2 linked regions of the Drosophila melanogaster genome follow. The protein of the gene in region 1 purifies or fractionates together with the protein of each later gene. This does not show direct contact. Each region holds a gene or a part of one and is shown in the gene's direction. Other genes may lie near its edges.

The links. Proteins that work in one complex are often made in the same cells at the same time.
Region 2: the proteins of atms (region 1) and H15 purify together in Drosophila melanogaster (affinity purification with mass spectrometry, with the first as the bait; one large-scale study listed by BioGRID). This does not show direct contact.

The regions. Positions count from the first base shown.
Region 1 is NT_033777.3:4,747,155-4,754,429, forward strand, and holds the start of atms (antimeros), read left to right. Parts: upstream 1-2,880; 5' UTR 2,881-2,900; intron 2,901-3,254; exon of another isoform or gene 3,255-3,639; 5' UTR 3,640-3,732; exon of another isoform or gene 3,733-3,794; 5' UTR 3,795-3,922; exon of another isoform or gene 3,923-4,454; coding exon of another isoform or gene 4,455-5,436; intron 5,437-5,642; coding exon of another isoform or gene 5,643-5,811; intron 5,812-5,885; coding exon of another isoform or gene 5,886-6,040; intron 6,041-7,275. Other genes in the region: CG44098 (uncharacterized protein), read right to left, coding at 4,455-5,436, 5,643-5,811, 5,886-6,040.
Region 2 is NT_033779.5:5,401,966-5,408,947, forward strand, and holds the start of H15 (H15), read left to right. Parts: upstream 1-2,314; 5' UTR 2,315-2,914; coding exon 2,915-3,227; intron 3,228-4,945; coding exon 4,946-5,409; intron 5,410-5,718; coding exon 5,719-5,852; intron 5,853-6,982.

The DNA.
Region 1 (7,275 bases):
GTCGTGGGCAACATTTATAAAATAATAATGTCAAAAGAGCGGGCTCAAGTTGACAACCTTTTTGACTGAACTGCAGTGAAAAACTGAAAAACTATACAGGCCTCAGACGAAATTCAGACTGAAAGGCAGCAGTGAAAGTGCAAGACACCGCAAATAAGTCGAAACACTTAAAGAAGGGGATAAATAAATGGGATACGAGAATACGGCGACCGCCGACTGCTTATATTGTCTTCGCAAATCAACTGGAGGAACTTGGTGCAAATTCAACGCTTTGATGACAGAATTATTTTGCACATTTTCCATAGGATTTTTGGAGAACAGTCTTATTTGCAAAATGCTTTCTCTTAAAGATATACCAGTAGAGGCAAGTAGAGTGCTCTAAAATAATAAATATGTTGATTTGGCTCATCACATTGTTTCAAGTGTAGAGGCCTGGTGGGTCCCAGATGACATGCAATCCCACAGCCATTGTTGCGCATCATGGCGCACTATCTGCAAGCTCCACATTGCCCAACGGCTGACTTTGCATGTTTGGCGAGAAAATGTAAGCAATGAAACGGAATCCCACACGATGGGCCTTGACGAGGGGGGAATAGTTAGATGTTGGCTCTAGCGTTATCCAAGCAGCGCGCGACAGGTGACAAGATATCACACGGTTCCCGGCTCAGGGTGAATTTAAAACCAATGTAGTTTGTTGAAGCATATAAGCCTTGAGTGGAATCCAAATAGTGGCCACAAATGAGTATACTGATTTCAGAAAACACAATAAATACAATAGAATAGAATACAAGTGGAATTTGAACCTTAAGCTGCAATTCGAATATCCAATAGAACTCAGGAAAATAAAAGAAAACAAATATTGAGGAAGAGCCAACTATAAACTGATCTAAAAATAGGCAAATGTGGAAAGGGGTGGAAACCATCTGTAGATCCTTTATAATGAGCATTTTTGTTGGCAAAAGGGAAGATGGAGTTAAATGACATTTAGTCAAACTTAAATCCTCAGATGGGCGTTTTTTGGACTGTAAACCGCATTAGGCACTGACATTTTGCAGCCGTTAGCCGCCAACTGATTTATTGGCATAATAGCGATACACACTAGCATTTTTAAATGGAAAGTGCACCATCTGGAGAGTGGAAATTTCAAGAGACAAATATATAGAAGGAAGAATAAGTAACTTTTGATTTTCCCTTGGCATACCCGATTCCCTCGTCCGTCGTCCGCCTTTATGGTAATTTTCCCGGACAAGGCCCTCGGTTTCCGTGTCTTGCCCGGCTTATTGCCCATTCTCCTATGGCTATGGCAGATCGGGGAAACTGGTCACCTGGGATGGACAATGTCCGGCGGACACCGATCAACTAGAGAACTCTCGTTCGCGACAGCTGCCTCAGAGCTAATAGGAACAGCGAATAATGGAAATTTATATGTACATATGTATTTACGATGAACAATTGCGAATAAAGAAAATAGCAGAACAGCCTGCGACGCAGCATACCCACACATATGTACAAAGTACATAACCGAACACACACATATGTACCTGTAGACGTGTGAGTTGAATTATGCCTCTGCCGAAAGTGGCTGCATTGGTACATCGCGGACGGAGCACGCCTCCAAGTCCAGCTATTAACTTACCTTAATGCCGCCATCGTTTTTGTTGATCTCCCGCAGAACGCCGCGACCACCAAATCCCATTCCTAGGCCATTTTCTGCGTCGTCGAATTCCATGGCATATGTGTATCCCGGCAGGCAGCGCTCTTCTACAGGCCGATGACACAGTTAAGCTATACGTTTTCGGATAAAACTCTTATTTATCGCAATATGAAATTGGTGACGCGAATTTCCAACGTTGCTTTGGCGAAAATGCCGCTACAATTTGAAGAAGCATAAGTGACAGTGTGGCCAAATTGCCAGCAGGGAAAAAATACCAGAGGGCAAATGTTACCTAGCATGTTATTAATAACATTATTTAATTGCACTTACACAATATTTCGATCTATGAATGGTTAAATAAAATCCAAGTTTTTCTTTATTTTTTTTTTCAACGAATTTTCAAGTAAATGAAAGTCGGTCAAAATAAAGAATTGGAATTAAAAAGGGAACAGTAGCTTTGGTATTATTACCATAATCACTTTTGTCACCGAGAATATAATGTTTGCTACCTACTTATGTAGATATACACAGTATTATAATACTGCATTTTATATTTCTAGCACACGATACTTGAAGAGTACAAGTCAAAAGTTTAAAGTATAACACAGGTAGATCGCATATAAAAGTTTTCAAGTACATTATTGTGCCAAAAAAAATTTTACATTTGACACAGTTAATACGCTTTTTTAAACAAACATTTGACACGCTGCAGTAAAATATTGATATTGGATATGTTGTATTGAAGTAGTGACGACTGCTCAATTTTTTTATGTAGTGAAATGTAAAATCATCTTTTATCACAATAAAGTTAAGATGTGTTGTTGTTTGATATTATTTTTATAAAGAATAACTTATAGGAATATATTTCGGAAAGTGACCTTATATAACAACGATTTATATGCATCGTATTGTACATATTTTCGGAGTCTGCCGTATTATTAGCGCAGAAAGTCCAAATATTTAATATTAAAGTATAAAACTAGGCACTTCATTCTCTTAAATCCATAAACGAGAGCACTTCTACTCGACGATTATGTTTCTCTTTATTAGGGCTGGCAACACCGTCACCCTATTTTGTTGCCTTCTGAGAATTGTAATGCAACCGCGTAACTCAACGACTCAACCGTTCGGGATTCCGAAAAGTTATATATTTGGAAATTTAACTAATAGTGAACAAGTATTTATTTATTCTTAACCAGGATCGGTCCGTCCATGTCCGTATGAACTTCGAGATCTCAGGAACTATGTATGTACATTAGTACGCATGTATAAGAGCTAGAAAGTTGAGATTGGCCATGAAGGTTCCAAACTTCGGTCCTATCGATTTGCCAGAACACTTCTTGCCACGCCCACAAACTGCCAAAGATTGCTATGCCCACACTTTTAGGAAATGTTTTTGATTTTCTTATTGGTTTTGTAAATTTGTACCGATTTACCAACAAAAGCAACGCCCCTTCTGACGCCCACAAACCGCCCACACTTCTACAAATTTAAAACTTCTTTTTGTTTTAATATATATTTTTTTTCAATTTCTATCGATATAACAGATATCCCTCGTTAATTAAACAAAAAACAAACAACGATAAAAAATAAATCAATTCGTTTTTATGATGATGCTTTATTAGAAAAATATTGCTCTTTTGCCATGTATAACACTTCCTTTTATGTAGTAACCAATATATGATAACATTCAACAAGTTGCTAAGCGTATTCACTAGGTGATGCAACTTTAAAAATATTATGTATTGTAATTTATGCCTTGTGTATTTATGTAGAGCCTGAAAACTACTAATTGTTTTATTTTAAATTAGCTTGGTAATTGATAATTACAATACGTAACGAATGTAAATTATTCAATGTGTAGGTTAATATTATTGTTGTTCTAATCAATTAGTATTATTAGATTAAGGTAATTAATAAAAGTTGTCCATAATATATAATTATTGTGTAACTACTCGTATGTCTTTTCATGAAATTCTCTCCAGGTGTTTACAACACAATCACTTAATGTGGAACCACAGGCCTTTAGAAGGATCACCATTTAAAGATGGTTTGTCTGTGCAGTGAGGTTCGATTCGGTACGTTTTTGATTTGGTTCAATAGTGACTGCTTAATACTGGGCTTTCTCCTTTTTCTCAAGGTGTGCTCCACATCTGACTTACTTTCTTATGAGACTACTAATTATGGCTGCGCTGAAGCTTATCCCAGACTTGAATGATTTAAGGTCTTCTGAGGATAGCCTAAATAAACTAATCCCTAAAATTAAAGGTAATGGAAAATATATGTATGGGTTTGGGTTTTGTCGGCGAGCTTATTTATCCATTTAAAATAATTTGCTCGAGGATTCTATTCCACAGCTTTAGCTTAAGTGTTGCCTAAGGTAATTTTGTTTTCAAGTGCGCGAGACTTTCTCACTTGAGCACTCCGATTTAGGTTGAAGTTGATGTACGTACTACAAAAGTGTGCGAAAATTCTAGTAATATATTGACTCTTCCTCTTAAAAAGGATAGCTAATGTGTCTTACAATAAGTGCGCCCATAAACTTATAAAGCGGGCGCATAGTATATACCGCTAACAAATTGTATAGACTATAGTTTACAAGTCACAGCACCACCAAAGTGAACCAGATCGCGGCCATAGCTGTGAATCTAGCAATATCTTAACTTTTTGAACATCTGCTTCTTTCCCTCAGCATATGATTTATTATCATAGAGGCTCCACTCCTGGGCTATAGAAAAATTTCTATATCTTAAGTCCAAACACACCGCTAATTTGTCAACGCACGCTTTCTGAAGGCAGTTCACATGGGTGGGCCATCCTCGGTTATCTTGGTCGTCCAAATGCCGGGCATCAGTTGTGGAGGTAGATTCGATTGCGGCGTGTTTAGTTTTAAAATAGTGCTGTTCGAGTGGATGGTCTTCGAGGTGGGGCTGTACCCCTTGTTGTCCATGCCGTCAATGATGGTGAACTGCGAGGTGATGTTTTGGGTTCCCTGTGCAGCAGGCGAGGAGGGTCTTGAGATGGGATGGGTCCTGGGACTGCTGATCAGGGAGGTGCACAGGCCACCGAGAATGGCCAGAGATGCGAAGGCCGTCTGGGGAATGAGTTGGCCGAAGACCACTGTGGATCCAATAAAGGGCGCTCCCAGCAGCCAGAAACGGGCCCAGCAAATCGTGGAGAAGGAAGTGATCTTCTTCTTGTCATCGGAAACCAGCTCCACCGTGCAGGTAGTCAGTATACTGAGCGTAGTGGAAATGGCCATCTTCGAGACCATGGCAGAGCACATCAGCAGGGCTACATTCGGATCCAGCCCAATTACGCTGGGCTTCGGGACCAGCCAGCCGCAGTAGGCAATGCATCCTGCCACGATGTTAAAGAGTCCCGTCCACAGCCACTTGCGGGTGGTTTTCAGAATCAGGAAGAGCCCGAAGAAAGTGCCCATCATCTCGCTGAAGCCCGCGAAAAAGGTGTTAATGTACAGGTGGTCGCGACTGAAGGAGCGGATGTTGAGCAGCATGCCGTAATAGACCACAATGTACAGCGACCAGGCCAGGTGCACACACACAATGTGTCGCACCGCTCGCTCCCCCTTCCACATCGACCACCAGCCACTCGGCGGAGGAGCGTCCATGGCGGTCTGCGCCTGCAGCTCCAGCTGCTGGTCGATGTCGTGCGGTAGGTTGTAGCCCGTCCCATTCACCTCCACGCACTCCAGCAAGATCTTCTTGGCGTCCTGTGTGCGTCCGCGGGCGATAAGCCATCTCGGCGAGTCGGGAATCCACCTGTAAAAGGGATGCGAGACGCAAGTGTCAGTATGGGCCACAAAATGTTGGTACACATGAATGCTGCACAGCAGTTCCTTTTTGGGCTAGTAATCCTGATAATAAATGTATTTTATGAGGGTTACTTATAATACGTTACTTATGCGAATCTAGATAACCCTCTAACTCTATGAGTTTGCTATCAATATCTGTTTTTGATTACTCACTGCCACAGATAGATTAGTATCACAGTTGGCCACGAGATGGCCATGTAGAGGTGGGACCAGCTGGACCAGAAGCTGGCAACTCCGGGCAACATCATTACCCCAATAGACCAGAACTGCTCAAAGAGTGTGGAGACGCAAGTTCGGTACTTTCCCCCCGTTATGTCGGCCACTGTAGTAAGGAGCAAATAATTAAAAATTCATTAGACATATCCATTTACATTTAAACTAAGTCTTGCCACTTACTGATTTGGCCTCCGGCCGTGTACATCTGGGCACAGCAAACGGCGGAGAGGCACCGGAAGAACACGTGGAGCTCGTAGGAGGCCACGTGCCCCGTGAGGTTACCACAAAATATCTGCGTGATCATGCCGAAGAGCATCACATTTCGGGGACTGAAACTAAAAGCGGGAAAGGGAAATATACGAACACAAATTATCTTTATTCTTTTCCCCAGATTATTGAAGTTTAGATATAAACCAAATGTACGCTAACTTACTATTTCATTAATTCGATCGCCGACGTGTGAAGACGTTTTTATCGTGCTCCGCACAAAATCGGTTGTTTTGAGTGAAGTGAACGCCAAATAAAATAAACTAAATAAAAAATCTGAAAGCGAAAGAGACGCTCTATGCGATGCAAGATCGCTTAAATACATAGTGAATTGTTATCTTAAATAATAAAACTATGAGTCAGAATGACACTCGCGCCCAGCGTCAGCGCGAGCATGACGAACGCCGACTCTCAATTCAGCGCAACAACGCGTACTTCTCCTACGTCTCACCGACAATCCCAAACGCAGACATCGAGCGGTCAATAACCCATAGCCCAGGAAACCTTCTTCTACCAACAAATCAAGAAAGAGCGCGCTCCTGCTCTCCCGCTCTATTGGCTCCGACAGAAGCCCCGCTACCTCCAACAACAACAGCTGGAGAGGGACCGGCAGCCCGCTCTGCCTCGTCATCGGCTGCACCCGCTCACGGTCTGACTAAGTCAGCGAAAGCAAAACCGCTAGCAATAAACGGTACTGCTGCACTGCCAGCAAAACAAAACGAAAACGTAAACAAAAAAGCTGGGTCGACCTGGCAGACTGGAATGGACCGCTACATTACAATAAAGCGAAAGCTCAGCCCGGAAAATTCAGATTTGGGAAACAAGCCGAAAAATACACGCGATAACTCTACCTTGATCAAAAATGTAGCCCCTGCAAATACCAACAGATTTGCCTTGCTGGTAGATACCGCTGAGGACGTGCCGCTGGGATCCGTTGATATCGAACCGAAGAAAACAAAGCCTCCGCCAATATACATCCGCGAGAAGAGCACAAGCCGTCTTGTAAATACTTTGATTGGCCTTATTGGGAAAGATAGCTTTCATATAACTCCCCTCGTAAGAGGTTCTATCAACGAAATCAAACTTCAGACGAAAACGGAGGACGACTACAGAAAAGTCACAAACTATTTTACCGCACAAAAAATAGGCTTCTACACCTACCAGCTTAAAAGCAGCAAGGGCCTGCAAGTAGTCCTGAAGGGCATTGAGTCTGATGTTACGCCCGAAGAGATAACTGAGGCGCTAAAGGAAAAGGGATTTTACGCCAAAAACGTGTTCAAATTCGCTCCCTGGCCTACATTCA
Region 2 (6,982 bases), on another chromosome or scaffold:
AAAAAAAAAATATATATATAAAAAAGGAGCAAGGGCAGGAGCAGGAATAGAAACAGGGAAAACCCCCCCAAAAAAAAACCTGGAAAGTTGAAAAAATATGGTGGCATATGCAAATGAGATTTCAGGGCAGGAAACAAATCATTGAAAAATTGTCACCGAGCCGCGACAAAGCAAACAAAGCGAGCTGCGGCCCACCCTGTCTGTATCCCTATACTCCAGATACCACATATAGCCGAATGTACTCCCTCCACCGATCCGACCACCATCAACATCACCATTAGTGGCTCAATTGTGCGCCACATCGGCTGGCAACCACGAATCGCATGCAAATGAAACCGCAGAGACAAAAACAACGATTACACCTGGGAAAACTAAAATAAGACGCATTTTGAATTTAAATTTTGCATTTGAGACTAAACATTTTTATTAAATATTTAGATAATAAACACATTCATATCAATATGTTGTAAACTTTAATATAAAAGTTACCAAAACTAAATTTTAAGATAAATGTATTGTAACCAGAACATACAAGACATAAAATTTAAATAGTTTACACTTTCGATAATGTAGCGAAATTATTCAACTTTTCTCGCAGTGCTGGGAAAAGAGGACATCATCCTAGGAGGACGAAGGGCGCAGCTGACGAATTGTGAAAAAAGTCTGACGGAGGGAAACAAGATGGTGGCACCACCAGAGCCCCTTCCCCTCACCCCACCAGTTTCCTCCCTTTTCCATGGGTCTATAATTTTCTGCTGCGTTCACACGCCATAGTCGCATTTTTTTTCCAACCATCTTTTGTTGTTTCCTTTGAGCAAACATTTAAATTAAAAACATTTACATACGCCGGTGGGCGGACAAAAGGGAGGAGTGCCAGGAACCCAGATATTCAATTATGATTTTTCAATTGGAGGACCCAGCACACGAGACACTTTCTCAGATAAGTCCTGTCGCAGGACTTTTTGTTTTTTCTCTTGACGGTCTGGAAAATTATAGGGTGATGGTTAGGATGTTTAAAGGACATTTAAAGGGAATGAATAATTACAAGAATACAAATACATAAATATATTTTTCTTGGAATTTGGTGAAAATACAACTTGTAACGAAACAATTCAATACATTTTTCATAGCTCAAAATTGTACAATTTTTTTGAATAAAATGAGAAAAATGTGGAAACAGAAAACATTTCGAAATATTTTACATAAAATGCTGGCAAACAATAAAATGATGGCAAATGCGGGATAACCCCTTTGTTCATTTTTTACATTAATTTCCTCTCCTGAATTTTATAGATTTCCCTACCATGTTTAAATATGCTTTATAAGGTTATGTTTATAAAACATTCATTTCAATGTTATAGGTTAGTTCTTAATATAAAATCGTTTATTTAAGACTTAAAAAATATGTAATCAAGAACAATAATATTAATTTCAGAGATACCATGAAATTAAATATTATTAAAAGAATTTTTCAATATTCTCAATTTATACAGTAAACGTAACTAGAACGAAACTCACTCGCTTTTCCACTCAACTCAGTGCGCTGTGGTGAATAGCCAATGAGAAACGGAATGGAATCGGACCGAGTTGAGAATAATTGTAAATAGTCGACGAAAAGCGGTGAAACACACCCCCAACCCCGACCAACAAAATCCACTCACACTCACCATAGCAACAACAACAATGAAGCAAAGAACTGTCAACAGCCAAAAACAAAATGACGAATTTATGAACTCCTCAGCGCGCTCTCTTTCGCGCTCCCTTGCTTCTAGCGGCACGAGTGAGATGGCAGCAACAAAAGGCTCTCACTCAAATACGGCTATATAGAGTTGTCTCGCTCTAACACGCGGCTAGCTTATGAATTGGTATTGTTTTGAGTGCATGGGAATGTGTGTTCGAATTGGAAAATGGAAATGAGTTATGCCTCGACGCCGACGTCGCTGCAAGCAGCATGGGAATGCACTGCATGTGTGGCCATCTCGCTCACACCAGTCTAATTGAAAACCGTATTTTTTCCCATATTTCTTTTGCGGTTTAAACTGGCGGTTTGCCTACGTCACGTAAGGAAAGTTTCGGGCCATGTTCTCTGGAAATGTTTCCTTACGTCGCGTTACGTGGTGTTGAAAACCTTTCGCCGTAAGACACATCAGCTGTTGTTGTTTCTGTTTTGGGGGGTCAGTCGACGTCGCAGTTGGCTTCGCTGTCGGCGTCCTCGTATTTGTTGTTGATTTTTGCGTTGCGTTTTTTTGTTGGTTTTGTTGGCTTTGGCTTTGGCGCTTTTGGCGTTTACATGGCGAAAAGCGAATTGGGATTCATTCAATGGTCAGCTGCGTGACTGTGAAGCAGCGACGGCGCTCCGGAATTTCCCGTTTCCTACTCGAGAATACGCAAATTACGATAAATAGCACGAAAAACCGGAGACCGCAAATACGGGCGTAAAGTCGTCAAGTCGCAAAGTGTGTCGTAAAACGTTGGAAAAAATAATACACATTATTTGCAAAAAAAAATTAGACAAATTTTATAATATTTTATTATTTAATAAAAAATCAAACGGCACAAGAATAATAACATACATACATATATAAAAAGGAAGCAAAGCAACTCTGTGTGATAAAGCAGTTTAAATTATTAAAAGCAAAAGCCGGCAAAAAATCAACAAATATGTTGAAGAAAATTGTAAAGAATTCAGTTTAAATCCGAATATAATATTTTAAAGAGCATTAAACAAACAAGTCCCAAAATAGTAGAACTAATGCAAATACAAACATATCAAATAATGGGCAACAAATAGGCAAACGATAAAGAAAATACCAACAAAAGCGGGAAAGAAAGTCCGAAACCTTTGAGAGCATATATTTGGCAAGAATTGGCTAAAATCCGTGCAGCAGCATTACCAATTGGTCTCGGCCCGAAAATGCTTTTGAGCAATCAGCCGGCGAATACGAAACCGCAGCAAACGCCTTCGCCGTCGCAGACGCAGAACTTCAAGTCGAAGCTGCAGCAGCAGATTGTTTCGGCAGCGGCGGCGGCAGCGGCGAACATAGCCAACGGCAGCAGCCATCATCATCATCATCAGAACCATCATCATCACCATCCGCTGAACAACCATCATAATCACAATCACAATCAGCACAACATTTCCTTCGCCACGGATTTCTCAATTGCGGCGATTATGGCGCGCGGCGGAAACGCCCCAAGCAGCCGCGAACCTTCGGAACGCAGTCTGAGTGAGTAAAGTAATTCCCGCACTAAAATATCAGGCCTACATCGCAAACTAGACTCAAGAGCTGTTCAAAAATAGCCAATGCATTTTAGGGCTTCATTTTCGATTGGGTTTCAGAACAATAAGTATCTTGATATCGTTAGTTTGCATGAAACGAGCTTAAAAACCAATCTTCATTTGAGTCCCATCGCTTCATTCATGAACGTATGTTTCTTATGATTCTTGAATTCATATTCAGCTCCTTACTACAAACAAGTTTCACTCTATTAACATATTCAATATTCCATTCTTTCGATTGAGACTAATAAATTGGCCAGTCAAAGTTTGAAAAGATTTTAACTCTGGCATATCTAGCATGTTGATGTTTATCCCAAGTTACGGGCTTGTCTGCTGATTTAACTATAAATATTTACGATCCAGGATTAAAATATGAAAGGCTTGATAAATGATTGAAAATAATCAAGCTGTGACGAAGAGCCAATTATCACATTTATGTATTATTTATGTGAATTTTTTAATTCAGATTTCAGATACAAGATTAGGAAAGTACACTCAAAATCGAAATAGAACTCGATAAAATCACACATAAGAGCAGAAACAAAATGCATTGCCAGAAAAATATATGTGTAGCAAATTGGCTTTGAATACTTGAGACTTGATGAAGAACAAAAGCAAATTAGTAGGTTAGTGTGCTAGCAAGAAAATTGAAATGTAGTTGATATTTCTATATATTTCTAGAAACACGTAAAGCAGTTAGGAAAATATATAAACATATTTCATTGGCTTTGGTAAAGAGTCATGTAATCGATTGCTTAGTAATATTCACTTGCTTTATTACCCACCTCTTGAAAAACTGTCGCAGCTGCATTACATTTCTATATTTTCCACATTTTTTGCTGCCCTTTTTGTGCAATATAAATTATATATTGATGACAATGCAACGTTGATGACTTGATAATTGCAGCAAATGCGCGGCAATAAAATAATCAAAGCCTATTTGAATGCGCCAAAGGGGTTGGGAAATGCACATGACAGGCGCAGAGCAGATACATATATATGTATAATCGCATTTGTATATACACTCTGAATGCAAAACTATTTAGATGCCATAATTGGGCAGAGACAAAAGCGCAAACAGATGCATTCATTAGTGTGAAAACCGACCCCCCCCCCACCATCGTGCACACCATTCTCTTTCAATTGGCAATTTTCATTGGCAATGCCAGCACACAAATACACACGAAATTAACATATGAAATTGCATTTTGAGCAAATAATTGAATTTCTGGCGTAATCTGTAAAATGCATCTGGTCGCGAACTGGATTCTCGTTGGCATTGCTGTTGCGACTCGTCATCGACAACATGCAACATGTTGCAGCCCAGCAGCAACTCCCACATTAACGAGCCACGCTGATGTCTCTCTTTTCTAAGTGCACTGAAAGAATATGCTCTTCTAATATGACAACAAACAATTAGCACTTATGTCTGTTAAGAAATGATATACTTAAATACACATTCTTTACTGTTAGAAATTCGTAGGAATCTTTTTTATAAACTTATAAGCTCTAAGTATCATTATATTTAATATTAATTATTTTTGGTTACTTGTATCAAACATTAATTTTTAATGATTGTGTTTTGTAGTTGCAAGTAGTTGTTTTTCCATAATTGGGACTTAGTTACTGACGCATTCTGCCCCCCATTCATTTCTGGTCGTGTAGGTCCCGCATCTGTGGAGCGCTATTCAGGCCAGGATGCGGACGATGATGTTGACGTTGATGTGGTCGACTGCAGTGACTCGGAAATGCCGTCGGCAACTGCGGCAGCAGCAGCGGCGGCAACAACAGCAGCGGCTGCAGCGGCAGCATTGCAGGCGCAGCAACAAGCGCGTCAGGCATTGCGTGTTGCACAGCAACAACAGCAGCAGCAGCAACAACAAAGGCAGCAGACACATCACCACGCAACAACTGGCAAGCAACAACGCCAACATCACAATCATCACAGCAGCAACACCAACAACAGCAGCAACTCAGGCAACAGCAACACCAACAGCAAATCAAGCAGCCAGCGAGGGCGTTCTGCTGCCGCAGTGGGAGCCGCTGCCACGCCCTCGCCACCGCCGCCCCCGCCCTCGCAAAGTCCGGAGGAACTCGAACGCCTGTCGCCAGAGGAATCACCAGCCCAGGTAAAGCTGCACAGAGACATAAATCCTTTTTGCTTCTAGAAAAAGTGGCTAGCAAAAAGTATTATTAGCAAAATTTATAAAATAAGATATAGGTACAAAAAATTTGATATAGGATTATTTCCTATCTTATATATTATATTATCTTATATAATAGATTTTATATATAGTAGATATGATTTTCTTTGTGTGTATGCATCACCAACTAAGTGTGGCGAAAGAAATATGCATCTCCTCGAGCGTCCTACTAAAATCGCCTCCTAATTCTCTACTCCTTCTTTTTCATCTCTCTTGGCAATGCCACGCCCACAGCAGCCCACGCCCAAGATAGTGGGCTCGTGCAACTGCGACGATCTCACGCCCGTCCAGTGCCACCTGGAGACCAAGGAGCTGTGGGATAAGTTCCATGAATTGGGCACTGAAATGATCATTACCAAATCGGGCAGGTGAGTGCAGTGCCATTGCCATGGCGGCAACAAATGCATAAATTAAGGGGTTTACACCTAAGTGAGTAGGCTGGAAAAACCAGGGGTTTCCATTGATGCAGTCATGAATGATTTTTAGCAGAGATGCAAGCGCAGATATATGCCTACTTTATTCTATTTAAAAGGGGATATTCTATATATACAGAGTGAGCTTATCTGAAGTATACTGTATATTATATGAGATTTAAGTTGAATTTCCTTTTTTAAATGTTCTCACTTTCTTATTTGTTGATCTTTCAAAACTCACTTCAATCAATCCACCAACCAATCAAGTTAGACATTTGAAAACTCCACTTATCGACATAGCCAGTTATTGAAAGAAATTTCCCGATAATCGATCACATTTCGTTTATAGCCCCGGCAACTTGCATTTTATTTCATTAAGCGCATTCGTTGGAATTCAATTTGCCGGCGGTGTTGGTGAGGCGGAGTGCTGGGAGGAGTGGATTGGCATGGGGCAGTCCGGGTCATAACCATAATGCCGCCCCCGGCAGTTGGCCACCAATCGAGCCCACGAAAAGTCCTCGAACGAAACACAATCAATAAAAACTTTAATGCGCCTTTCACCCATGGAAAGCCAAATGCCCAACTTCCAGCTCATGTTGGCTGTAAGCTAGCGGCCACGCCCCGTTTACGCCCCATGCCGTCTTAACTGGAAATATCAACAGCTTTTCGGTTAGTTCCTCATTTACATCAAGACATTTTTTTGTCGTTGTATTTTTTTTTTTTTTTTGATTGACAAGGCTTTGAAGTAATTTGCGTCGATTTTCGATTAGCAGAAAAACAAAAGACAACCATTTCGTCAGCTGTTTTAGCTCAAACATTAAACATACATACATACGTACGCCCAAAAAACACAAACACGCATACTCACATAAGAAACCGAATTAAACGACTTTTCATTCGCAACTCAGTCAAAGTTGAAGGAATTATTGCTCGACGATATGTTCGAATGTTGTGGCGAAGTTTTCAGGGGGTGGGGGGGTTCTTTAAAAGGAAACATGAACGTGAAACATAACCGTTTGGGGCAAGGAACTTTTGTTTTATTTTTTTGCCCTTTTTTCTCTCTCCCAGAAAACATGCGAAATGCG